Linked DNA regions of Ovis aries. The protein of the gene in region 1 purifies or fractionates together with the protein of each later gene. This does not show direct contact. Links are inferred from orthologs where the notes say so. Each region holds a gene or a part of one and is shown in the gene's direction. Other genes may lie near its edges. The genes, in order: RUVBL1, WDCP, ACTL6A, tubulin alpha-1A chain, ZNHIT6, EPC2 and EFTUD2.

What was found.
Region 2: the proteins of RUVBL1 (region 1) and WDCP purify together in Homo sapiens (affinity purification with mass spectrometry; 6 studies listed by BioGRID and IntAct, counting the BioPlex papers as one, with this or other methods). This does not show direct contact. The link is inferred for Ovis aries from reciprocal best matches to the Homo sapiens genes RUVBL1 and WDCP.
Region 3: the proteins of RUVBL1 (region 1) and ACTL6A purify together in Homo sapiens (affinity purification with mass spectrometry; 10 studies listed by BioGRID and IntAct, counting the BioPlex papers as one, with this or other methods). This does not show direct contact. The link is inferred for Ovis aries from reciprocal best matches to the Homo sapiens genes RUVBL1 and ACTL6A.
Region 4: the proteins of RUVBL1 (region 1) and tubulin alpha-1A chain purify together in Homo sapiens (affinity purification with western blotting; 3 studies listed by BioGRID and IntAct, with this or other methods). This does not show direct contact. The link is inferred for Ovis aries from reciprocal best matches to the Homo sapiens genes RUVBL1 and TUBA1A.
Region 5: the proteins of RUVBL1 (region 1) and ZNHIT6 purify together in Homo sapiens (co-immunoprecipitation; 3 studies listed by BioGRID and IntAct, counting the BioPlex papers as one, with this or other methods). This does not show direct contact. The link is inferred for Ovis aries from reciprocal best matches to the Homo sapiens genes RUVBL1 and ZNHIT6.
Region 6: the proteins of RUVBL1 (region 1) and EPC2 purify together in Homo sapiens (co-immunoprecipitation; 3 studies listed by BioGRID and IntAct, counting the BioPlex papers as one, with this or other methods). This does not show direct contact. The link is inferred for Ovis aries from reciprocal best matches to the Homo sapiens genes RUVBL1 and EPC2.
Region 7: the proteins of RUVBL1 (region 1) and EFTUD2 purify together in Homo sapiens (affinity purification with mass spectrometry; 4 studies listed by BioGRID and IntAct, with this or other methods). This does not show direct contact. The link is inferred for Ovis aries from reciprocal best matches to the Homo sapiens genes RUVBL1 and EFTUD2.

The regions. Positions count from the first base shown.
Region 1 is NC_056072.1:59,415,849-59,419,348, forward strand, and holds part of RUVBL1 (ruvB-like 1), read left to right. Parts: intron 1-2,062; coding exon 2,063-2,165; intron 2,166-3,500. UniProt on the Homo sapiens protein: Possesses single-stranded DNA-stimulated ATPase and ATP-dependent DNA helicase (3' to 5') activity; hexamerization is thought to be critical for ATP hydrolysis and adjacent subunits in the ring-like structure contribute to the ATPase activity.
Region 2 is NC_056056.1:31,711,822-31,714,315, reverse strand, and holds part of WDCP (WD repeat and coiled-coil-containing protein), read left to right. Parts: intron 1-412; coding exon 413-530; intron 531-2,494.
Region 3 is NC_056054.1:208,331,245-208,334,744, reverse strand, and holds part of ACTL6A (actin-like protein 6A), read left to right. Parts: intron 1-1,217; coding exon 1,218-1,294; intron 1,295-1,458; coding exon 1,459-1,633; intron 1,634-3,500.
Region 4 is NC_056056.1:137,067,846-137,072,113, forward strand, and holds the start of tubulin alpha-1A chain, read left to right. Parts: upstream 1-1,468; 5' UTR 1,469-1,566; coding exon 1,567-1,569; exon of another isoform or gene 1,570-2,078; intron 2,079-3,573; coding exon 3,574-3,796; intron 3,797-3,932; coding exon 3,933-4,081; intron 4,082-4,268. UniProt on the Homo sapiens protein: Tubulin is the major constituent of microtubules, a cylinder consisting of laterally associated linear protofilaments composed of alpha- and beta-tubulin heterodimers.
Region 5 is NC_056054.1:62,750,581-62,754,757, reverse strand, and holds the start of ZNHIT6 (box C/D snoRNA protein 1), read left to right. Parts: upstream 1-1,377; 5' UTR 1,378-1,531; coding exon 1,532-2,190; intron 2,191-3,313; coding exon 3,314-3,379; intron 3,380-3,464; coding exon 3,465-3,571; intron 3,572-3,661; coding exon 3,662-3,747; intron 3,748-4,177. UniProt on the Homo sapiens protein: Required for box C/D snoRNAs accumulation involved in snoRNA processing, snoRNA transport to the nucleolus and ribosome biogenesis.
Region 6 is NC_056055.1:160,788,409-160,791,908, reverse strand, and holds part of EPC2 (enhancer of polycomb homolog 2), read left to right. Parts: intron 1-295; coding exon 296-441; intron 442-551; coding exon 552-895; intron 896-3,500. UniProt on the Homo sapiens protein: May play a role in transcription or DNA repair.
Region 7 is NC_056064.1:44,341,667-44,345,785, reverse strand, and holds the start of EFTUD2 (116 kDa U5 small nuclear ribonucleoprotein component), read left to right. Parts: upstream 1-1,319; 5' UTR 1,320-1,371; exon of another isoform or gene 1,372-2,418; intron 2,419-4,119. UniProt on the Homo sapiens protein: Required for pre-mRNA splicing as component of the spliceosome, including pre-catalytic, catalytic and post-catalytic spliceosomal complexes. Component of the U5 snRNP and the U4/U6-U5 tri-snRNP complex, a building block of the spliceosome.

The DNA.
Region 1 (3,500 bases):
TCGTCACCGTCACCGCTGTCTTCTGGTCTTGAAGGGACGGCAGCTTGGACCAGGTCCAGGCCAGCCAGGGCCTGGCTCCCCGGGCAGCATCTGGAAACGGCACCTGGCCTGGAGAGCCCGGTGTCCGGCCACACAGGCGCCGCGTATGTTTTCTGGGCTCGCTTTGGTGGGGCCTGGCTTCAGGGTGACAGTGGGCAGAGGGGCCCAGCCTGGACAGCTGGCGCCCCCTGCTGAGGGAGCCCCGCGGCCAGAGCCCACCCCGGCCGAGAGCTCTCAGGGTCAGAGTCCTCTTCGCCTCCTGCCGTCTAGGGAAAAAAGAGGCACGGGAGGGTGGCCGTGACCTCAGAACCCACCCAGTGGGGCCTGGGGAACTTGGCCCCAGCCCCATCCAGAAGGATGTGTGTTCCAGAAACCATTTTCTCTAATACGTTGTCTGAAAGAAATTTTGTGCCTCAGAGTCCGAGCTTGAACACATTTCCACAGTCTTTGGTCTTTAATTCCTGAGAAGTGCTTAGTATTTCTTAAGCAGAGTTTTTGTTTTTGTTTTCTGTTAAAATTTTTAGTTTTATGGACTTAAAACCAAAAGAAGATTTTAACACATGTTGACAAATTCTGTTCCTTCGTGTTTTTTTCCCATTTTTTTTTCTTTAGACTTTTATATTCACTGTCTCTGAAATGAAGATAATTTATCATGAGTGTTATAGAAGTGGGGATGTTTCAAGATGGCGGATTGAGATCGTTTAAACTTTCCCAGGAGAATATCTAAGTAGAAAGAGAAAAATACAGCCTACACAGAATCAAATAACTGAAGATTAAATGAGGTTTTAGAGGTTATTTTGTTTAATATGACGATTACAGGTATACCAAATACTGAGTTTAATCATGACAGAATTTTTTCCTTACAATTCTTTATTTTTTTTAGAAATATTTGTTGGTGAAAAAGATTCATTTTTTTCTAGTGGCTTCTTAACATTTTGCATTTGCTACTAGTCTGTTTCCTTTTTTGTTTGAAAAGGTCTTAATTATTTTTAAGTATTAGATTTAGCAATGATTAATGTAGCATTTTATTATTTTATTTTTTCATTGTGGTAAAATGCATAGAACATAGTTTGCCGCTTTAGTTACTTTTAAGTGTTGGGGAGGCCAGAACTGGGGGCCTGCTGCTGTGGCCTGCTCAAGTGGAGGCAGGAGCCCCCGGCTCAGCTCGCTGGGCTTCCAGACGCGGCTGAAGCCTAACACGTGCCGCAGGGTCTGCCTGGGACACAGCCCGCTGGGAGCTGGTGCTGTTCAACCCGGTGGGGTGGCCAGTCACTGGTTTGGCTAAGGATTCGAGAGAGAGACAGGCAAAAGTTATGATGGGACAGTTCCCCAAAAGAAATAAATAACTGATGGACACGAGGGAAGGCCTTCAGACGATTCATGAATAATCAAGGACGCGCAGAGTCAGATGCGGTGCTAGGCCTTCCTTTTCCTAGAACTTTAGGCAGCAAACTGTGAGGCTGCTCAGCGCTGGCCACAGTGTCGGGGGGCCAGATCGCTCGCGCGGCTGCAGACGTGAGCACATTCCTTGGTTCAGCCGTCCATGTGTTTAGGGAGATGTTCAGGGTTGTGTCCGGCTCTGTGAGAGATGCTGAGGAAGTGTTCATGGCAGTTATGCCTAAGACACCGTTAGTTATAACAGTAACACTAGGGACCACTACGTGAATGCCCTGTAGTTTGGGTCCAGTGAGACTCGTCATGGGCTGTTTATACTGAAACAACAGGGACAGGAGCGGCCCAAACGGATCTGCACACTTAGGGTGGCGCGCGGGGGTGGCAGATGCCGCTGTGAACAGCCTCGCCGCGGCTGCAGTTGGCCTTCTCCTCCTCCCCCGACTCCCCGTGGTGGTGATACTCGCAGAAACAATGGCGTGGTTTCTGATGCCACCCGAGTGAGTCTGTCCTCGCGGTCCTGCTTCTGACTCTCAGGACGAGAACTAGCTGCTTTGTTATCACCGGGGCCTCGGCCATGGTTCCACTGTCCAGAGAGGCCCGAGTGACCTGGACCTTGTCGGCCTTGCAGGGGCACGGAGGACGTCACCTCTCCTCACGGCATCCCTCTCGACCTTCTGGACCGAGTGATGATCATCCGGACCATGCTGTACACCCCGCAGGAGATGAAGCAGGTGGGCCGCGCCGCCCCTCCTCCCCGCCCTCGCTCGCCCTCGGGCCCCTGACACCGGGCAGGACGGAGCCCGTGAGTGTCTCTGGCCCCCCACCGCCCCCCACGGCGCTGCCGGCCGAGGGCGTGTCTCCGTGCTCCCCAGCCTTGGCCCACCTGAGTGACGCGAGCCAGCAGGGCGTTGCCTCCCGTGTCCCAGCGGCTCAGCTGCCGGGAGTCCTGGCGGTCCTCTCTTCTACCCCATCCCGCCTGGTAACCTTAGGACGTGGGAAAACCAACTGGAGGACCACCAGTAAGCAGGCCCCAGCTCAGAGAGGCAGCAGAGCGCCCCTCAGTGATGGGCCCGCCCAGGCGCCAGCCCGCCGGAGCCTGCGGCAGCCTGGCTCCCGCGGGCAGAGCCCAGGCCCCAGCAGAGGCAGTGTGGGTGGCGGCCGTGGAGTGACGCTCGCAGGGAAGGTGTGCAGGGGCACGCCGAGCTCACGGCGGCTCCGCCTGTGCTGAATCAGGAGAGGTGACGGGCCGCGGGACTGGCCTCGTCCGCAGGGCGCAGCCCCAGCTCTCCTTGCAGAGTCGGAGCCGCAGCCACATGCCCGCAGCGCCCGCAGCCTTGGCAGCCCCGTCCCTTCTGGGCCTTCCGAGCCATCCTCTCCCCCGGTGCTGGCTGAGCCCTAAGTGGCGATTCCAGGACACAAAGCCGGCCGTGTGCTGCGGGGCCCAGCCATCTGCTCTGCCCACCCTGACCCCAGACAGTCTCGCTGGGGCATAGGTCTCACTGTGGGTCCCCGTACAGCCACAGCTGGGGACCTGGGGTGCCCAGGGCCGCACTGACATCCGGGGGACTCTGCCAGACCGTCTCCTCCAGAGCACTCTCGGATGGGGTACTGAGTCGTTTGATCCCGTCACTCAAGGTAGGGCAGACAGTTACTACTGATGTTCTTAAAGAGCGGGTGCTGAGATGTAGACTGGTTAGCTTGCCCGGGTTCACATGGCCCATCTGTGGCAGGACTGGGACTGGGACCCAGGCTGTCTCATCCTGAAGCCCCTTACCTGATGTCTCTGCCACCAGCCTCCTCCCTGTGAGAAATGTCCCGTCTGGGAGGCAGTCTCTGTGGCAATTGGCCAGCAGGCTGCTCCTTTCGGAGCTCAGAGGGCCTCTCCTGGACCCTCCGCAGCAGCACCCCGCCTGCCTGTGGCCTGTCTGGCCTGGCCTTGCGTGTCCTGTGGACCAGCGCCCAGGAGGCCCGTGACGTGTAGAGCCAGCGCTCTCCCTGCGTGACGGCATGGCTCAGACCCCAGGTGGTTGAGCACCGTGGCGGCAGCAGCTGGGTGGGAGGTGGGG
Region 2 (2,494 bases), on another chromosome or scaffold:
AAACCAAAAAACTTCATGTGGCTCACTTTATTTCAGTGGCCTGGAACCAAAATCTGCAATCTCTGAGGTATGCCTGTTTCTAAAACAGCCAAGCAGTTTTTCCTCACCATCTGATTGTCTTTCTCATGCTGCCATCCATCATCCTATAAAGCTATTAGTCTCATCCTAGAAAAACCAATTCCTAGAGATAAAGACATAACCTTGGGGAGGAACAGAGCAAAAGGAAATTTGGGGTTGTATCTTGTCTGTTGCTTTAGTTGTGCAAAATAATGCAGCAAAAAGCTCCTTATTAACACTGAAGTTGATAGTGGTAATAGATAAGAATTTGTTAAACTGTACATTCTATTCTTAAGAAATGTTAACCCCATTGCTTCTGCAATCAGTTTAACAATTTTTATCTTTATTTTTGAAGAAATGTCATTTTGTACGTCCTGTTGTTGAAAAAAGAATGATGCTTCTCTGCAATGGCAAGCTAAGACTCAGCACAGTCCAACAGACTTTCGGCCTCTCTCTTGTTGAAATGCTGCATGGTAGGTAAAATTCAGAAGGCGACTCTACCCGATATCCCCTCCCTCAATTTTGTGACTGTCACTGGTGATGAAAATGAGGTGTACCAACCATTTAGTGATTCAGTAGACAGTTAAAAAGTATTATTAATTGTTATTGTATATCTAGGCCTGTTATAGGTGCCGAAACACACAGAAAATATGGGTTCTGCCCTTAAGGAACTTGCAACCTAGTTGAAAAACCTGAGTGCACACATGAAAAAACTAAATAGAGTTGCAAAGCAATACGTAACAACTGCAGGAAATGACAGAAAACCTCATATGTAGTAGTTGCATTAAAACATAAAAAGCATCGCAGAATATTTCTTTTGTGTGTGTGGCGGGGGGCGGGGCTCTGTGCACACACATTCTTTCATCTGTTTATTAATTTGGGGGCTACACCACATGCCATATGAGATCTGAGATCTTAGTTCCCCAGCTAGGGATTGAACCCTTGTCTGCTGCAGGGGAAGTCTTAGCCACTGGATGGCTAGGGAAGTTCCTATATTCTTTTTTCAAAATATTCTTTCCCATTGTGGTTTATCACAGAACACTGAATATAGTTCTCTGTGCTATACAGTAGGACCTTATTGTTTTCTTTCTTTTTGGGGGCCGCGCCTTGAAGCTTGTGGGGATTCAGTTCCCCAACCAGGGATTGAACCCAGGCCACAGCAGTGACAGCCTGGAATCCTAACCACTCGGCCACCAGGAAACTCCCATAGAATATTTCTTAAAGGCATTGTCATTTTTTTTTTAATTTATTTTTTTTATTGAAGGATAATGCCTTTACAGAACTTTGCTGCTTTCTGTCAAACCTATGAATCAGCCATAGGTATACATATATCCCCTCCCTGGAACCTCCCCCCCATGTCCCTCCCCATCCCACCCCTCTAGATTGATACAGAGCCCCCGTTTGAATTTACTGAGCCATACAGCAAATTCCTGTTGGCTATCTATTTTACATATGGTAATGTAAGTTTCCATGTTACTCTTTCCATACATCTCACCCTCTCCTCCCCTCTCCCCATGTCCATAAGTCTCTTCTCTATGTCTGTTTAGGAGCTGTCATTTTAATATGCAGCATACGTGCACATGAAGGACTCTCCTAGATGCCTTAGGACTGACTCATGCCTGTGTTCCATCTGATGGGCAACATGGTGGTTTTCTTATGCCTCAGTCTTCAGGACAGCCACACGCTAAACATAAAGTTTTTTTTTAATTTCATTTTTTTTTCCTGCTAAACGTTTGTAGCATCAGCATTTTTCTATTTTGATACATGCATTTATGATACGACTTGATAACTGTAATTTTTACTGGGTTAATATTCTGTCTTGGATATACCATATTTTTTTTCCTTCCAGTTTTATTGAGATACAATTGACATACAGTGCTATAAAGTGTACAACATAACAATTTGACTTAATACATCATGTAAGTTAGTGAAGAGCCATCATCTCATATAGACAGAAAAACTTTTTCCTTGTGATGAGCAGTATTTACTCTCTTAATACCATATTTCAGTTTGCCTTGTTTTCTTTGACATTTAAGTGGTTTCCAATTTTTCATTATCATCAATAACACTAATAAAAACCTTTCTGTATTTTATACATTTTTGGAAAGTGTAGATTTTCAAAAGTGAAATTACAGGGTCACAGTAGACTCAAAAGAACCAGAAAAAGTCCAGGTATGTGTTATACCAGTGGTCCTAGGTTACCTCAGAACAAACTATTTAGGATTATCTGGGCATTTCTAGCCTGGCGCTAGTCAGCTCAACCTCCTTGGGTGTCTAGAGGCTGGCATGGATCTCAAAAATATAGACTTGTCCTCCATAGAGTTGCTGTTGCCAGCTTTGTGTAGTTTCTGGAGAAACTACTAGATGGCATTAGAAAAGGTAGGGACACCATCCACACCCCCTAACACCAGCATGCACACATGCACACACGAGCTCA
Region 3 (3,500 bases), on another chromosome or scaffold:
GGCCAAAGTATTGGAGTTTCAGCTTCAGCATCAGTCCTTCCAAAGAACACTCAGGACTGATCTCCTTTAGAATGGACTGGTTGGATCTCCTTGCAGTCCAAGGGACTCTCAAGAGTCTTCTCCAACACCACAGTTCAAAAGCATCAATTCTTCAGCACTCAGCTTTCTTCACAGTTCAACTCTCACATCCATACATGACCACTTGAAAAACCATAGCCTTGACTAGACGGACCTTTGTTGGCAAAGTAATGTCTCTGCTTTTCAATATGCTATCTAGGTTGGTCATAACTTTCCTTCCAAGGAGTAAGCGTCTTTTAATTTCATGGCTGCAATCACCATCTGCAGTGATTTTGGAGCCCCCCAAAATAAAGTCTGACACTGTTTCCCCAACTATTTCCCATGAAGTGATGGGACCAGATCTTAGTTTTCTGAATGTTGAGCTTTAAGCCAACTTTTTCGCTCTCCTCTTTCTCTTTCATCAAGAGGCTTTTTGGTTCCTCTTCACTTTCTGCCATAAGGGTAGTGTCATCTGCGTGTCTGAGATAATTGATATTTCTTCTGGCAATCTTGATTCCAGCTTGTGCTTCTTCCAGCCTAGCGTTTCTCATCATCTACTTTGCATGTAAGTTAAATAAGCAAGGTGACAATATATAGCCTTGACATACTCCTTTTCCTATTTGCAACCAGTCTGTTGTTCCATGTCCAGTTCTAACTGTTGCTTCCTGACCTGCATATAGGTTTCTCAGGAGGCAGGTCAGGTGGTCTGGTATTCCCATCTCTTTCAGAATTTTCCACAGTTTATTGTGATCCACACAGTCAAAGGCTTTGGCATAGTCAATAAAGCAGAAATAGATGTTTTTCTGGAACTCTCTTGCTTTTTCCATGATCCAGCGGATGTTGACAATTTGATCTCTGGTTCCTCTGCCTTTTCTAAAACCAGCTTGACCATCTGGAAGTTCACGGTTCACATATTGCTGCCTGGCTTGGAGAAAAACTCTCCTTAAATTACCTAATTTTAGCGTATCGTCTCTTTGCTGATTGAACCTCTACTAATATACTATATTTGACTTGCTATATTTTAATTAAATAAGTCTTTAAAGCATATTTAAAACTAGGTTCAAAGTAGTAGTAACATGAATATAAGCACATTAAGTACTCTTTAATTTTCATATGGTACTTGTAAGTTGTTAATGTTGGTTATCTTTTCATCTTTTCAGATGAAGTTGGAGCCCTTGTTTTTGACATTGGATCCTATACTGTGAGAGCTGGTTATGCTGGTGAAGACTGTCCCAAGGTCAGTGTAATGTTAGAGTTAATTGGATATACAGGAGCCATTCATGCAGAGTTAAATTCACTCAGAAAGTCTAACTCAAATATGGTAAAAGATATTAGTTGGTGGGAAATGACTCCTTGATAAAAGCATATAAAACTTGTAAATCATGTTTTTGACTCTTCCAGGTGGATTTCCCTACAGCTATTGGTATGGTGGTAGAAAGAGATGATGGAAGTACACTGATGGAAATCGATGGTGATAAGGGCAAACAAGGCGGTCCCACCTATTACATAGACACGAATGCCCTGCGAGTTCCGAGGGAGAACACAGAGGCCATCTCCCCACTGAAAAATGGGATGGGTATGTTTTTTCCTATGGATTTGATTATAAATGTAGAGTATGTATAGTATATTTCAGATATAAAGCAGTGGCTGCTTATAAGTTGAACATCAGCTATCTTCTTGTTCTTATTCCATGAACTGATGTTCCAGGCACTGAGAATACAAAGATGCGTAAAACATGTTTATTTTCCTAACAAACCTATAGGTATAGAAGCTAGATTTGTGTATATAAATATAACTGTGTTTGATAAGCAGTGGGGTTACAGAGGAGAGATATTTAACTCTGTGGGGGTCAGAGATGGTTTTCACAAAGGAGCTAACTGTGCTGAATCTTGATCACTGGATAAGAACTAGCCTGACTGACAAGGCTGGGTAAAGCAGAGCAGCCAGCATGTGTGAAGAGTGGTATTGTGGGAGAAACTTACATGTTTAGGAATGTCATCAGTTAAGTATGGCTATAATAGTAGGTGCATTAGGGCTGGTTTCAGGAAAGGCAGGCAGAGAGCAATCATAAAAGGGCTTGGAATGCCAGTATATTAAGCAGTTAACTGAAATGTTACCTCAAAGGAATTTTTAAACAGAGATGTGAAACGCTCATATATGCCAAATGGAAAGATTATTTTAACAGTAATACATAGGCATGATTAGAGGGAGATACTAGAAACAGGAAGATCAATTAGGGAGGTGAGTCCAAATGAGAAATGAAGAGGTTTTAAATTTTAACACTGATGGCAGAGATCCTGAGGTGGCTGTCTGAGATATCCAGGACAAATGGTGCTGAGAATTTAAACTTTCAAAAGTTTGAAAAAAAGTTTCCTAGATTTTTGGAGTCACTGAATAAGGGGTACCATGCACTAGGGAAGGAGCAAGCTTTATGGCCTTAAAAAGCAAATGTCCACTGTCACTCTTAGGTCCAGTTATTTACTAAAAGGATTCACGAGATTCAGCATGTAATGGTACCATAGCTAAGGTTTATTATGCCGAAAGGATACAAAGCAGAACTGACAAAAGGAAGAAAAGGGCATGCAGTGAAGTCCAGAGGAAACCAGCACAAGCTTCCAGGAGCTTACAGTGTAGTCATAAAGGATGTGCTTAAACCTTCCGGCAATGAGGAACATGTGTGTGTAGTCTGTTATGCGTGCTCAGTTATATCCAACTCTTTGTGACCCCATGGACTGTAGCCTCCCAGGCTCCTTTGTCCATGGGATTTCCCAGGCAAGAATACTGGAGTGGGTTACCGTTTCCTTTTCCAGAGGCTCTTCCTGACCCAGGCATCGAACCTGCATCTCCTGAGTCTCCTGCATTGGCAGATGGTTTCTTTATGACTGAGCCACCTGGGAAATCCATGGTCTACTAGGGGAGCACATTAAAGACTCAGCACCCTGCTTCACACTCACAGGATAGCTGTTTTATAAAGACAGACAATAGCAAGTGTGATGAGGATATAGAGAAACTGAAATCTCCATATCTATTTCTGGGAGAGAACATAAAATAGTACAGCAGCTTTGAAACATAGTTTGACAGTTTCTTAATAGGTTAAATATAAATTCACCTTATAATCCAAACAGTTCCACTCCTAGGTATCAGTACGAGAGAACTGAAACCCATGTCCACACAAATACTTAAATGCAAACGTTCATAGCAGCATTGTCCATATTAACTGAAAAGTGGATATAGTCCAAAGGTGCATCATTGGATGAATGGGTACACACAGTGTGCTATATCCATAAAAGGAAGTATTAATACTACTTGACAATAAAAGAAACAAAATAACTGATACAAGTCAAAATACCAGTTGGGTTTTGATGAACCCCAAAGCCTTATGCCAAATGGAGGAAATCAGATGCAAAATTCCACATAATGTGGAATCACTTACTCTAATATGG
Region 4 (4,268 bases), on another chromosome or scaffold:
GCCCAGCAGGAATGAATGGATTCTGCAGAGCACTATAAATGGTGCTGCCGACCCTGAAAATCTCTTGCTAAAAGCCAAAAGGAAAAATTATCTGCCAAAATGCATATTTTCAACTTCAGGGGCCACAGCAAACCTCTTTACCTCTGAAATTTCATTAGCAACGTCAAATGGTACCCAGTCCAGAGGCATATTCTGCACTGTACATCCTTGTTGATAATGGAAGCTTTCTGAGTAGCAAAAGAATGTTACTGCACTCCACTTCCTTAAGCAAAGCCTTTTGTCCCAAGAGGCAGTTGAGCAACCACCAGTGTCTCTGACTGAATAGCAGCTGTATGAGGCTGGCTACAATTCCCACAGTTTGAAGCCCAATCTTAGAGGAGGAGAATTTACTGAATTCACATAAGATTTACATTAAAAAAAAATGCAGTTATTGAGGTGACATCTACACAGTTGTCTACGGAAGGAGACAATATTACAAAATAGTCTTCTTTTTCACACTATACAACTCTCTTCCTTTCTAATGTGGTATCCCAGTAATTTTCTCTTTCCAGAAGAGAGAACAATGCAGAATATAACTGCATGCACAGGTAGTACTAGCGTCTAAACTCAATTCTCTCTCCTTGTATTTTCTCAATTCTATATTAGAAAAGATGATCATTTTAAGCAACAATACACGACATAAAATATATTAACATAGACTTCTGGAATATTTCCAGTAGAGTAAGTATGGTGTGTTCATTAGATCTGAATTATCTTCATGTTAGAACTACTTGTGTGCTTCCATAGATTGATTGTTCTTTTCATCTAGTGTTTTTGTTTAGCTTTTAGGGAGAGGGTGGCAAAAGAAGGTCTGAAAAAAAATTACTTGAACCTGAGAAACCATTTTGGATGGTTATTGAATAATTTTTTAATTAAAAAAACAAAACAAAACAAAACACATTTACCCAAGCCATTTTAAGCATCATTCCCATCTTCTCTTCTACTTTATTTTTAAAGCACTAGAGATACTGAATCTTCACCAAATGTGGGTTTAGCACACTCTGAGGGAGAAGCTGAAAGTAATTTTCTATTAAAATATTTCATCTCAAATTCTGCGATTAAATGCTGGGAGGAAAACCTTTACATTGATGATTTTAACAGCAGTTTGAGGTTTAAACAATATAAAGTCACCCAACTCCAGTTCTCTTTCCCTCCCTCCCCCCACCCCTTCCCAACCCCACCCCGTAATGGATGCTCGGCTGACTGTTTTTGCTCGGTCTCTTTGTCTGAAGGATGCAAGCAGTCTATGGATGCTAGGGGAAAAGGGGTGGGGGAGAGATTACCTCATCCCATGTCGCATGCACCAATCACCACTCTTCTGTCGCGGCTCCTCTGGGCAGATTGAGGGGTCTGGACCAACAGGAAAAGGCCCCAGCCCATCCCCATGGTGACCGAGTTGTATATAGGGAGCCTCAGACGCCCATGTGCCGCAGGTTCTCTTACATCGACCGCCTAAGAGTCGCGCTGTAAGAAGTAACAACCTCTTCTCCTCTCCGCCATCTGCTCGGCAGCCGCAAAACAGCAACTATGGTAAGAGTGTCTCCTCCGGCTCTTTGTGACGCTGGGTGGGGTCAGCCTCCCCAGGGTCTCCTTGGAAAATCTTAAAACCTTTGTCCTTTACAACTCGATGGGTAAGAGTAGCTTTACATTTTATTTGCGAGTTTTGGCTTTGTCTGCGGCCGGACTCCCCGCCGCAGTGCGGGGTGCAGGAGCCCCACCACGACTGAGTCCAGGGCGCGGCTGAGCAGTGAGGGGGAACAAAGGCGGCGCCTAGGGAGGTTTTGTTACCCAAGTCCCTGGCAGCCGCGTGCAGCAGCCCATCTGTCGGTCAAGAAAGGGGCTGGGGCAGGCAGGGCGGTCTTGGCGTCGCCTGCTCGGCCCCCGTGTGCGCACGATAGTCGTGTGACTCGGAGAAGCCCTTCCTCGCGTTGTTCCCCAGGGACAGGGAGAGGATTCGTCGACCGAAAAGACGGGGGTCGGTGGGTGTAGCTGGGAAGAAGACTCGGGGAGAGAAGGAAAGGGACAAAGCGGAGCCTGAGGTTAGTATTAAAAAAAAAGGATCCCTCGCCAGTTCGTTGGTGTTTTAGAAAGACACCCATGTATTAACAGGCAAAATGGTTAGTTTCTGTGGCGGCCGGCGTCGAGGCGGCGCAGGGGCGGAGTTGTTTGTTTCTGCTTCTCTCGCCTTGGAGCCGCTGGGAGGGGTTCGTCCTCACTAAGCCTCCTCTGTCAGAAAGACTTTTAACAAGCCTTTCATCTTTACAGAACCGTAGGCGTTAAAAGGTTTTTCATTCACTGTCAAAACTTAGATTTTTTTTTTTTTTGAGGAGCAAAGTCACAGTTCACATGACAAGCCCTTTAACGTCTGGTCTGGGGCCGCCCCGCCCTGGCTGACTCCTGTGTGTCTGTCTTGATCGCATGTTCAGCGAGAGAAAAAGCCGATTTTGTGAGCCAGGGTGCTCTAATGCAGAGGACCCAGGGAAACGCCCTTCCCCGCCCCCAGCCCCCGTTTGTCAGTGACTAGACAATGGACAGACAAAGGAAGTTGTAACCGTAAAGGCTACGGAGGGGACACTCTACTGAATGTAATGAGCATGAGTATTCTGTGGTGGGTACGAAATTTCAGAATGAAAACATTATTTTGTTGTTTTATATAAATATTTAATTATTTCACTGGGCTTTAAGCTTGGTAGCTTTTCATGTTCTATTTATTTCTAGTTTAGGAACTGTTGTTTTAAAGATACTAATACTTTTTCAGTTTTTTGCAGAGGAGAAGATTCTGGGAAAACTTTTTTAAATAATGAAAATGCTGCAGACAAAGAAGACTTATACTTTGTGTAGCTGTCTTTTGTTCTAGTGCATCTTCATGAATTCATTTCAGTTTAGGCATATGGTCCCAGGCTGGGTCAGAAGAGGAAAACTGGCAGATAGCACAATGAGATCATGTAGGCAGTTGCTGGAAATAGAGCTTGCTCTGTTAAATAATGTAGCAGACAGTACAGGCTGGCACCAGGCACAGCAAATGCAGCAGTGCAGGAGACAGTCCTTGTTTAGCTTCTACCCCCTAATACTGATGGATTCTGCAGACAGACTGCAGAAGGGTGTGGCTTCTAGCCTCAGCTGCAGTACAGATGTCCATATTGAAATACCAAGTCCTATCAAAAAAATGTTCATCTTTAAAGGTGAAGGAGGCAGTAATAATGATTGCAATTAACTAGTGATTGAAATTACTTCATTTTACAAAAATTTTGTGCTTGACTATTTTTTAAATATGAAAAATCTTCTATTCAAGTATGGCTGTTGGAACAATCGGCTTGCACCATGTGCTTAACAGTGCAGCCTTATCCAGACCACACCCATCTGCAGCATTTGTAGCAAGTGCTTTTCTTTAACTGTTTCTATTATGTTAGGAATATGACCTCAAATAAATTCAAAGAATACTTGTATATTACTAGAAATCATTTTGGAAATTTATTGAAAATTGAAAATGCTAATATAACTAATTTTACAATTTTTCTCTTTTCCTTCCCACAGCGTGAGTGCATCTCCATCCACGTTGGCCAGGCTGGTGTCCAGATCGGCAATGCCTGCTGGGAGCTCTACTGCCTGGAACACGGCATTCAGCCCGATGGCCAGATGCCAAGTGACAAGACGATTGGGGGAGGAGACGACTCCTTCAATACCTTCTTCAGTGAGACAGGCGCTGGCAAGCATGTGCCCAGGGCAGTGTTTGTAGACCTGGAACCCACAGTCATTGGTGAGTTGACCTCAGTAGCTTCAATGAGAATCCTGAGGGTCTGTGACAGGAGGTGTGTCCTGTGGGCTCCACTGATACCCTGGGGTGGAGCTTGTATGGGTCATTGATGGGTGGCTGCTTCGTTTTCCTCTTCCAGATGAGGTTCGCACTGGCACCTACCGCCAGCTCTTCCACCCTGAACAGCTCATCACAGGCAAAGAAGATGCTGCCAACAACTATGCTCGAGGTCACTACACCATTGGCAAGGAGATCATTGACCTCGTCTTGGACCGAATTCGGAAACTGGTATGTGTATTCTCAAGAATAAAGTAAATTAATGAACCTAAGAGAGATATTTATAAAGTTCAATTAAAATATGGCCTATTTGATGTCATTTGATAAATATTCATGAAGATATTTTTAATAAAGAAATGCTGAGTAATTTAAGGAAGGTCTACATTTTAAAAGTTTCTGTCAAAATGCAATCTCATTC
Region 5 (4,177 bases), on another chromosome or scaffold:
GTCAATAAAGCAGAAATAGAGGTTTTTCTGGAACTCTCTTGCTTTTTCCATGATCTAGCGGATGTTGGCAATTTGATCTCTGGTTCCTCTGCCTTTTCTAAAACCAACTTGAACATCTGGAAGTTCACGGTTCACATATTGCTGAATCCTGGCTTGGAGCATTTTGAGCATTACTTCACTAGCATGTGAGATGAGTGTAATCGTGCAGTGGTTTGAGCATTCTTTGGCATTGCCTTTCTTTGGGATTAGAATGAAAACTGACCTTTTCCAGTCCTGTGGCCACGCTAAGTTTTCCAAATTTGCTGGCATATTGAGTGTAGCACTTTCACAGCATCATCTTTTAGAATCTGAAATAGCTCAACTGGAATTCCATCACCTCCACTAGCTTTGTTCATAGTGATGCTTTCTAAGGCCCACTTGACTTCACATTTCAGGATATCTGGCTCTAGGTGAGTGATCACACCATCATGGTTATCAGTACGTGATAACAATCTTTAAAAGTAACTGGTGGCTCAGTGGTAAAAATCCACTTGCAATGCAAAGACGCTGGAGATACGAGTTCAACTCCTGGGTAGGGAAGATTCCCTAAAGAAGAAAATGGCAACCAATTTCAGTACTCTTGCCTAGAGTACAGAGGAGGAGCCTGGTGGACTTGCAAAAGAGTTGGAAATGACTTAGCAACTCAACAACACAACAACAACAAAAGTAACTGAAATGGATGCCAGAAAAATTTTCATTTATTGAGGGTTGTTTTGGGTTTTTTCCCCTATAAGTTCTAGGAAATCCTGGAGACTGATTTTTTTGACCCAGTCTTTAAATATATGCTGTAAATAGGGAACTGGCTGATGCCAGCTGTTATTGACAAATAACTGAAAGAATAAAAATAATGCCTTCTTTCTACCTGAAACCTCCCGGTAATAATAGAGACGATATGTTGTTTGTTTTATCACTGCTAGCTTATTTCCATACATTATTACACGTAACATCAAACTAAACTAAGAGATTTATAATACCATCGTCTCTGGAGTACTGCTTAAGAAACTGAAGCATGGAGAATAGTGCTATTAGGTATTTCTTCCATCTTCATGCAAGCTTAGAACAGAGTAGGGTAGGTCTTCACATTCGAATGTAGCGAGGATTCCGCCTCTCTCCCTTATTCTGAACTCCTCCGGTCTCTTAAAGCGGAAGCATGCGGCCCCGTGCAGAAAGCACCGCCTCTCCAAGGGAAGGGTTTGATGAAACCCCGCCCCGCAAGCGGGATCGAAGTGGGCGTGGTCTCAGACGGATCCCGGGAAGATCTGGGCGGGACTGCCGCAGAGCCGTAAAGAGCTCCATGAGTCGTGAAAGGGCACGGTGCGGAAGCGTTGCTTTACGACCGTTGGGACAGGCGCGCCGGGTCGGCGTCCACTGCTTGCTACTTCTCTGTTATGCACGTGGGCAGCTCTTCGTGTTTTTGCAGGTAACTCAGCCCTCTTGGCGTGAACCAAACACATTGAAGGACGGAGTGGCAACGGAGGTCAAGGATCTTGAGATGATGGATTTTGCTGCTGAAAGTGAAGAGATGTCGGGAGGAGGTCTCCAGAGTGAAGCTGAGGGGGCGCGGCTAAGTCTCGAGTCAGATCAAGAGAAAGTAAGGACGGAGGAGTCTGGCGCTGGAGGGGCGGAGAATGGTCTGACCGGAATGGAGAAGACAGGGGCAGGGGAAGAAGAAAGTAGACGAAGAGCAGAGGAGATGCGAATAGCCCTAACGGTTGTGAAGCAAGAAGTAATGGACTGGTCAGAAATGGTAGAAGGTACACTGAATGGCCAGTGGGTAAAGCAGGAGGAGGACGGACATGAGGTGAAAGAGGAAAAACCAGCCACACTGGAGGTGAAGCAGGAGATGGATAGTAGTTTGATGGTAAAAGAAGAAAAGGTGGAAGAAACAGAGATAAAGGAAGAGAAAGTGAAGGTGAAGGAAGAAGTGATGGACTGGCTGGAAGTGAAGGAAGAGAAGAAAGATAGCTTGGATATTAAACGTGAGGAAGTGTCTCTTGATCAGAATATTAAAAAGGAGGAAATAATGGATGAAGTGTATGTAAAAGAAGAGAAGTATTCCCCCAAAGAAGAAATGATGGATGATACAAGGGTGAAAGAAGAGCCTCAAATAAATCCCTCAGTGGGCTCCAAGCGGAAACTGGCCATGTCAAGGTAGGGCAGAGCTGTGAAGGTCCTTTGTTATCTAGGTTGAAAGAAACTACACGATCAGTAAGGTGTGGAATAATGAAAAATAAGCGCGTGTTTGGGCCGGGAGTCTGAGTGGTGGAGGGAGGGGCGATTAGGAAAGGAGGGTTTTGTCTGATAACAGCAAATTCTGTGGAAATATGTGAGGTTGGTACTAGTGTCCAGTGGCCAAGTTAGGAAGTGAAAATTCTTGGGACCGGAAAACCCGTGGACCAGAATCTGGCTTGACTTTGTATGCCCTTGGCTCAGTATTCCTTTGAGAGAGGATAGGTGTGAGGAACAGTCTAATAAAACCAGCAAGGAAAAGTGGAGTAAGTTAAAATTAGGCAAAGTACATTGTGACTCACTCACTTGGCTAGTTTTTCTCTATGGGTACTGTGAACATTTATTGCTTTTGATTTAATTTCTTTATAGTGTGATCATGTGGCATGAGAGTAGTCAGATTCTTGGGACCATTTCTGTCTCGAATACAGTGAACCAACATGTAGTTTGCTTGTCTGTTTGTAGTTTGATTGTCATTGTACACTGTCACTCAAGTGAAAGATCAGTTGGAGACAGATGATGGGTAGTAGTATTTCTAGAGGGTTTTGGTGCCCATTCTCAGTTGCGTGAGGAACTGAGGAAAAAAGATGCAACTGCTGCTCTCTAAATTTGCCTGGGTCTTCTTTTTCTGAATGTGTCTGCCTTTAAGATATATACACAGCTCATGGATTGGACTTCTGGGTATGTGCACACACACAGTTGTTAACAGCGTCAGGAGTTACAAAGTTAAAATATCAATAAACGATCTCACTGTCTGATTATTTAGAAAAGGAAGTCTCAGTGAGATAATTTTTTAAATGTAGTACATGTTTTCTTGAATTACCTATCATTAAACAACATTGTAAATGTAGTGTCATTTAGAGATGGTTTCCTAGAGGGGAATTTTCTAATAATGTTTGACAGCTGTCCATTATTTCATTAGAGTTACTTGCATCTACTTTATTCACTGTGACTGCATGTCTGTGAATTGTGATGGATTAAAAGTTTATAAATAAATATATAGAATTAATATTTGATAATTTATTAAGTTTCTTATGGGCTTTTGTAGATGTGAAACTTGTGGTACAGAAGAAGCAAAGTACAGATGTCCACGTTGTTTGCGGTATTCCTGCAGGTATATATGTAATTTCTACCTTATTATCTCTGCCTGTACCCTTTTAATCTCAAAAGGTAAAAGTTCCTTCTCTTTGTCCCTTCAGTTTGCCCTGTGTAAAGAAACACAAAGCAGAACTAACATGTAATGGAGTTCGAGATAAAACTGCGTATGTTTCAATACAACAGTTTACAGAAATGAATCTCCTAAGTGGTAAGCCATCTTATGTATAGCAGACTGATGCTTCTTGGCCATAGGCATATATCATTTATTTATTTTTCTGTTTTTTTTTTAAATTTGTAGATTATCGATTTTTAGAAGATGTGGCAAGAACAGCAGACCATATTTCTAGAGATGCTTTCTTGAAAAGACCAATCAGCAATAAACATGTAAGTATTTCTTCTGTTCTTTCCCAGTTAGAATTTCTTCTAGTCAAATGGATTCTTTTTTTTCTTTTTGCACTCAACAAATAGTGTATTAAGTGGCTACTATGATCCAGGGCTATTCCAGTTGCTAGGGATACAGCAGTGACCAAAACTAAGTCCTTCCCCTCATGGAACTTGTAGCGGGAGAGACAGGGGATGAGTACAGGAACAAATATAATTTCAGATAGAGTTAAGTGCATCTGAAAGATAGAGGACAACAGTAGGTTTAGTTCAGTTTAGTTCAGTTCAGTCACTCAGTCGTGTTTGACTCTTCGCAACCCCATGAATCGCAGCACGGCAGGCCTCCCTGTCCATCACCAACTCCCGGAATTCACTCAGACTCATGTCCATCGAGTCAGTGATACCATCCAGCTATCTCATCCTCTGTCGTCCC
Region 6 (3,500 bases), on another chromosome or scaffold:
GAATAGCAACTCTTCTACATAAATGTTAGAAGCCACATTGTTCTTTAAATATATTTCTTTTAAAATATATCTTAAATGTATTGATAGTCATAAAAATTTAGTTTATTTTGATGAGTGAACTTCTTTATCAGTTTTATAGAATTTAACCTGGTTAACATTTAAATCCCGATTTTAAATTTTTATATCTAAATTTTAATTGTTCTGCTAATACTGTAGTTTATTTTTATCATGATTTAACTTTTCTTCATTTCAGAATTATTCTATGAGTTTCAATTTTTCCTTCCCTTTTGTGCAGCCTCGTTTGGACCAAACTAACCGTTCATTTGGAAATTCAGAATTGGCAGATTTGGATAAGTTAAGATACAGGCATTGTCTTACAACACTCACAGTCCCAAGACGATGTATAGGATTTGCAAGAAGGCGAATTGGCAGAGGTGGAAGGTAAACTGTTCGTTTTGACATGGTATTTGTTTACAAGATGGAAGGGGACAGTATTAAGAAAATGTTATTAAGTTCTTCTAGGTAATATTTGGCTTTATATTGTTTTTCAGGGTCATAATGGACCGGATAGCCACAGAACATGACCCAGTCCTGAAACAGATAGACCCTGAAATGCTGAATGGTTTTTCAAGCGCTTCCCAAAATATAGACTTTTCTTCTAATTTCTCTCGGACCAATGCTTCCAATAAACATTGTGAAAATAGACTGTCCCTTTCTGAAATATTAAGCAATATCAGATCGTGTCGACTACAGTGTTTCCAGCCAAGGCTACTAAATTTACAGGACAGTGATAGTGAAGAATGTACCTCAAGAAAACCAGGGCAGACTGTGAACAATAGAAGAGTTTCTGCAGCATCTGTAGCTTTATTGAACACCAGCAAGAATGGCATATCAGGTAAGTTGCTACTTGTTAAAAGTATATCCTCTTCTCTTCTTAATTTTTCATTATCCACTAGTCTTTCAGGATGAATTTTGAAGGTTTATTTTCATGATCCTACTGAGGAAAGGAATTGTAGCTTAACAATTCCCCCCAATGTAGGAAACTAAACTCTATTATTGTGGTTTGCATTTTAACCAAAAGTTCCAAACCAATACCTGTAAAACCACTCACTTTGAATGTGTGTGCCTGGTATGGTGAGTGTGTAGGGAGAATGTGTAGAGAATTCTCTCTGGGCAGAGTGATTATTAGCTACTATTAGATCATCATAGCACAAAAGTGTTTTTGTTATAGAAAGCTTAACACACTAACCTGACAGGCTCCTCTGTCCATGGAATTCTCCAGGCAAGAATACTGGAGTAGGTTACCATTTCCTTCTCCAGGGGATCTTCCAGACCCAGGGATCAAACCCGGGTCTCACGCATTTTAAGCAGATTCTTTACCATCTGAGCCAACAGGGAAGCCTCTTTTCCTTTCGCTTTCATTTATTGTATCGACTTTGCTTAAATGTAAGCATTGCCCCTCAGAAATGCCATTAAAGCTTTCTTTCTGAAAAATGTAGTTTTGGTCTGATAATATACCTCTCTAATTGAGATCAAGAAGTATTTTACGTTTTAAGAGACATTGTACTAAAATTAATATACCTTGGCATTGTGAATAATGTGTAACATCTAGAGACTCTTAAGATGTAATTTTTATTTGTTTTCTTCTGTGGATAGTCTTCTCTTTATCACATATATATAAGTGTATAACTTGTGAATGTCTTTATAATGTATAAATTGCAAAAAATGCATGGTATACAAAGGCAAAGCTAGACGTGGCTTGACTTAAACTGTTGATATCCTTTCTTTCTGTAAAATGTATTTATTTCTAAATTATTTCCTGGACAGTGTATTTTACTATATAAAATTGATGTGTTATACTTCTTCAAAGTGATTTTAAATCATTTTAGGTTGAAATTTTGTCTCAATAGTGTTCAGTCCTTTTTAATTACTGAGCTGTTTATTTTCAAACTTTACTTACACATTTGTCTATTTAGAGGTTGTTATGGAAAATTGGATTTGTTTGCATGATTGGAAGCTGCCATATCATTTCTCCAACTTAGTTGGTTAATTTTCTCCCAAATGAACTTAGGTAAGGAAAATGGTATCCCATTATATAAAGTTCATGAGTCTGTGAAGTTTAATGACCTTTTGAAGCTGAAATGGATTAATACCTAATATGACTTTAGACAGCAGGATTCTTAGAAGTGTAAAAATAGTAAGAGCCAGACATCCTGGAATGTGAAGTCAAGTGGGCCTTTAGGAAACATCACTAAGAACAAAGCTGTTGGAGGTGATGGAATTCCAGTTGAGCTATTTCAAATTCTAAAGATGATGCTGTGAAAGTGCTGCACTCAATATACCAGCAAATTTGGAAAACTGGGCAGTGACCACAGGACTGGAAAAGGTCAGTTTTCATTCCATCCCAAAGAAAGGCAATGCCAAAGAATGCTCAAACTACCTAACAATTTTACTCATCTCACACGCTAGTAAAGTAATGCTCAAAATTCTCCAAACCAGGCTTTAGCAATACATGAACCGTGAACTTCCAGATGTTCAAGCTGGTTTTAGAAAAGGCAGAGGAACCAGAGATCAAATTGTCAACATCCACTGGATCATCGAAAAGGCAAGAGAGTTCCAGAAAAACATCTATTTCTGCTTTATTGACTAAGCCAAAGCCTTTGACTGTGTGGATCACAATAACTGGAAAATTCTGAAAGAGATGGGAATACCAGACCACCTGACCTGCCTCTTGAGAAATCTGTATGCAGATCAGGAAGCAACAGTTAGTACTGGACATGGAACAACAGACTGGTTCTAAATAGGAAAAGGAGTACATCAAGGTTGTATATTGTTACCCTGCTTATTTAACTTACATGCAGAGTACATCATGAGAAACCCTGGCGGGAAGAAGCACAAGCTGGAATGAAGATTGCCAGGAGAAATATCAATAACCTCAGATATGCAGATGACACCACCCTTATGGCAGAAAGTGAAGAAGAACTAAAGAGCCTCTTGATGAAAGTGAAAGAGGAGAGTGAAAAAGTTGGCTTACAGTTCAACATTCAGAAAACTAAGATCATGGCATCTGGTCCCATCACATCATGACAAATAGAAGGGCAAAGAATGGAAACTGTGGCAGACTTTATTTTTGGGGGCTCCAGAGTCACTGCAGATGGTGACTGCAGCCATGAAATTAAAAGACGCTTACTCCTTGGAAGCAAAATTAGGACCAACCTAGACAACATATTAAAAAGCAGGGACATTACTTTGCCAATGAAGGTCTGTCTAGTCAAGGCTATGGTTTTTCCAGTAGTCATGTACGCATGTGAGAGTTGGACTATAAAGAAAGCTGAGTGCCGAAGAATTGATGCTTTTGAATTGTTGTATTGGAGAAGACTCTTGAGAGCTCCTTAGACTGCAAGGAGATCCAACCAGTCCATCCTAAAGGAGATCAGTCCTGGGTGTTCATTGGAAGGACTGATGTTGAAGCTGAAACTCCAGTACTTTGGCCACCTGAT
Region 7 (4,119 bases), on another chromosome or scaffold:
TGGACTCCGGGAGTTGGTGATGGACAGGGAGGCCTGATGTGCTGCGCTTCGTGGGGTCGCAAAGAGTTGGACACGACTGAGCGACTGCACTGAACTGAACAGAAGGCGGCTCTGTCCATGAAATTCTCCAGGCAAGAATACTGGAGTGGGTTGCCATTCCCTTCTCCAGTGTTATATTCCCGATCCAGGGATCCAACCCGGGTCTCCCACACTGCAGGCAGATTCTTTATGATCTGAGCCACCAGGGAAGCACCCATACTTAAATGTCTTATAAGGAGAAAAGATACTTTCCACCCGAAACCAGATGCAATGACTGAGCAGGAAATCAAGTGGACGCGACAGAGGAAGGGGCTTAATGATCCCCGTTCTCAAACCCCTCTGTCCAGCCCAAGGCTGGAGCATAAATCTCTAGGTACTTGGGCAACCTCTTTAGTTCTGTCTCTGTACTTCTGCAACTTCCGGGTGTCTGAGGCTGACTGATTCGTTCTATAGAGATCACCTATACGAGTTTTAATCTTGGATCCGCATTTACTGCTGTGAGACCTTTCTGAACCTTACTACTACTGCTCCGAGCTATTTGCTAAAGATCACTTGGCGAAGTCATCCCCACCAAGCTCCTCAGTCCCTGGGATCTCCCAGGCAAAAATACTGGAGTGGGTTGCCATTTCCTCCTCCAGGGCATCTTCCTGGCCCAGGTCTCCAGCACTGCAGGCAGATTCTTTACCGTCTGAGCCACCAGGCAAGCCCCAACACGGAAGCAGGAGGCCTAAAACCAACCCTCCACCCTAACATGGGTAAGCGAAAGACCAAGAAGTAGGGTGGGCTGGCCAGGAACTGAACTCAGGTGTCCTGACTCCTGCCTAGTTCTAAGCCTTTCCCAGTCACTGAAAATCTAGAACATCTAATCCTCCTGCCCCCTGACCTTCACCCCAGCAGCCGGGGCCTCGGTTTCCTTTCTTTCTTTGGGGATGCCCAGACACTGCCCGACGAAGTCAGCTCAGCGTAGACCACGCCCAGCAGCTGTGGTTGCCCAGCAACTGCTACAACAGCCTCCCACGTGATCGCCCCGAAGGCCCCCAGTCAGGGTGGCCCCGAGGCGCCTGATCAGATTCACGCCTCCTCAGGCCTCGCTTTCTCTGGAGCAGCCCACGCCGTGGTTTGGGGACCCACAGTTCCTCTTCTCAGGTTCCGGTGTCCGCAGCCGGGATTCCTCCGAGCTGGTCCACAGGCAGAGGGCTGCCCTCCCGGGAAGAAACGCAACCGCGGCGCCTGTGGGGTCCTTCCGAACGGCGGGCGCAGGCGGTGAGGCGGCGTGGGGCGGAAGCACGATCTCCAGCGGCCGACTGGGAGTTTTTGGCTGAGCAGCGGGAGGTGAGTGGCGCTGGTCAGCGTCAGGGGAGGCTTGCTCTGGTGGAATGGGAAATTAGTCAGATTTGGAAGAGATGCTATGTGTTATATGCCACTTTCACTTTACAGATGGGTAAATTGAGGCGTGGAGTAGGATAGAGAATGAAAGCCCCCCCACCCCCCAACCGATTCCTGGGTTCCCTGCGTGTCGTCCGTCTATAAAACCCTTTCCCTGGGCAGGGGTCGTTCTTGCAGTGTCTATTCCCCTATCTTACTCTCTCTTCCAACTGTGCCGCCTTCACTTCTCTATCAAGCTCCCTCCGTCGTTACTCTATGTTCCTTTGAGAGCCTGCATTGTAGCGGGAAGCTGCAGTGAAGTTTGGTACCGAAATTCACTAGTTTTGTGCAACTGTGGGCAGGTCAGCTGTCTTCTCTGTGCCTTGTTGGGGCCATACATTTCGTCATTCAGTAAGTGGTTCTGTTTTGTGGCAGGCACCCTTTTAAGTGAAAACAAAAACAGTCCTTGCTTAAACTGTAGTTGGAGAGGTGACGGTAAATACACGAAGATACTTGTCAGCTAATGATAAATGTTAATAAAAATAATAAAACATTGAAAATAGGGGTTGGAGAATGTGTGTGTGGGGGGGGGGAGTTTTTTAGAGTGACAAGGGAAGGTTTCTCAGAGAAGGTGCTGTTTTAGTAGAGACCTGAGTGAGATGAAGGAACAAGGTATATATGCCCAAGGGAAGAGCATTTTGGAAGAGAAGAGTAAGTGCAGTGGCCCTGAAGCAGAAATGACTTGGATTATTTCATGAACAGCCTTGTATAGAAATTTCTGCAGTCATTTCATGGGTGTCTTGGGAGAATGAAATGTGCACAGAGATGATAGCTCTTTGGAAATAAAAAGAATATGCATATGAAAGTTTCTGTGATAAATCACATTTACTTATTAGTAGTGGAGCTCTTAATTCTCTATTTTATCCACAGTCAGCACTCCACAAGGGGCACTGAAGGAGGTGGAGGGATTACCGTTGTGGAAGAAATACCAGTATCTCAAAATTGAACCTTCTGGTCAGTTAACATTTATCTAGTGCCTACTCATGTGAAGTGGTGTCTTGGGCATTGGCACATGGGCACAAGGAGCACAGGGTTCCTGTATTCAAGAATGGCCAAAAAAGTTTTTTAACTAAAAAATACAAATAAAACAGACAAAAGAATGGCTAAAAAATAATGCCAGTTAACATTGATTGATCCTGGAATCATGATGAATTCTTTACACAGCCTATTTTTTTTAATTCTCATAATGCTTTATGTGGTGAAAATTAATCACTTTATTTTCCAATTGAAGAAACAGGCTTGGAGAGGTGAAGGGCTTACTGAAAGTGACATAGTTATTAAGTGACAAAGTTTGGATTCAAATCTAGGTCTGCCAGTTCCAGAGCCCTGACCAGTAACCCATGCTCTGGTCTGTTGTCTATTACTTGTAAGCTGTAGAGTTGTTGTTGAGGGTAGTTAATGCAGTTAACTACCGTTGATGACAGAAGTAAATGCTGATAAAGACACAAAAGGCTGTGGCATCATAGGTGAGTGAGAAATTGAGGCTCAAGGAAGACTTGAAGGAAATGGTCTTTGAACAGTTATTTTGAATAGAATTTCAATACTTGAAGTGGAGACAGCCCACGAAATATTTATGAACTGCGGAGAGAAAACAAGTAACTTTATACAGTGGAAAAGCCTGGTAGACACCACCACAATCAAGTGGTTACGTTAACATCACCACTGATGGGAGAAATTAAAATCATATGCCACTTGTTAGGAGTTGCACCGAAAAGAGCACAGCCTCACTACTGTGATAGTCTTACCAAAAAAAAAAAGCATAACTTGACTCTAATCATGAGGAAACATCAGACAAACTTAAATTCAGGAACATTCTACAAACTCACTAGCCTGTAATCTTCAAAAGCGTCAAGTCACAGAAATCAAGGAAAGGCCAAGGATTGTTCCAGATTGAAAGAGACTGAAGACATGATAGCCAGGTGCAAACATGGAATCCTCTGCTGTGCAGGACATTAGTGGAACAATTTCTGAAACTTGTATGGGGGCCTGTGGATTAGGTGTAGTGATGTGTCAGTATTTTCTGATTTTGATGGTTGTATTGTGGTTATGCAGAAGAATGTCCTTGTTTGTAGGAATCATGTGCGCTAAGAACAGGGGTTGGCAAACTTTGTCTATTAAGGGCCAGATAGTAAGTATTTTAGGCTCTGTGGCCATATAGTCTCAGAGGCAGCTACTCAGCTGTTACAGGCTGAAAGCAGTCACAGACGGTATAAAGAAAGGGGCATGGCTGTGTTCTAGTAAAGCTGTTTTCATAGACACTGAAATTTGAATTTCATAGAACTAATTGTCATGTATCATGAAACACTCGTCCTTTGACTTTTTTTTCCAACTGTTTAAAAATATTTTAAAAATCATACCTTCCAGGCCGTTATGAGAACAGCCAGATTTGGCCACAGGCTATAGTTTACCAACTTCTGCACTAAAGTCTGAGGAGGTGATGAGACATTGTGTCAGCAACTTATTCTCAAATAACTTAGGAAAAAGTGATGTGCACTGTTTTTGCAACTTCCTGTATTTAATTATTTTAAAATTAAAATTCTTTTAGTATTAAAAAAACAAACAAACAAGTGGGCTGGGACTTCCCTGGCAGTCCAGTGGTAGGACTCCATGCTTCTACTGCAGGGGGCATGGGTTCAAGCCCTGGTGGAGGGGAGG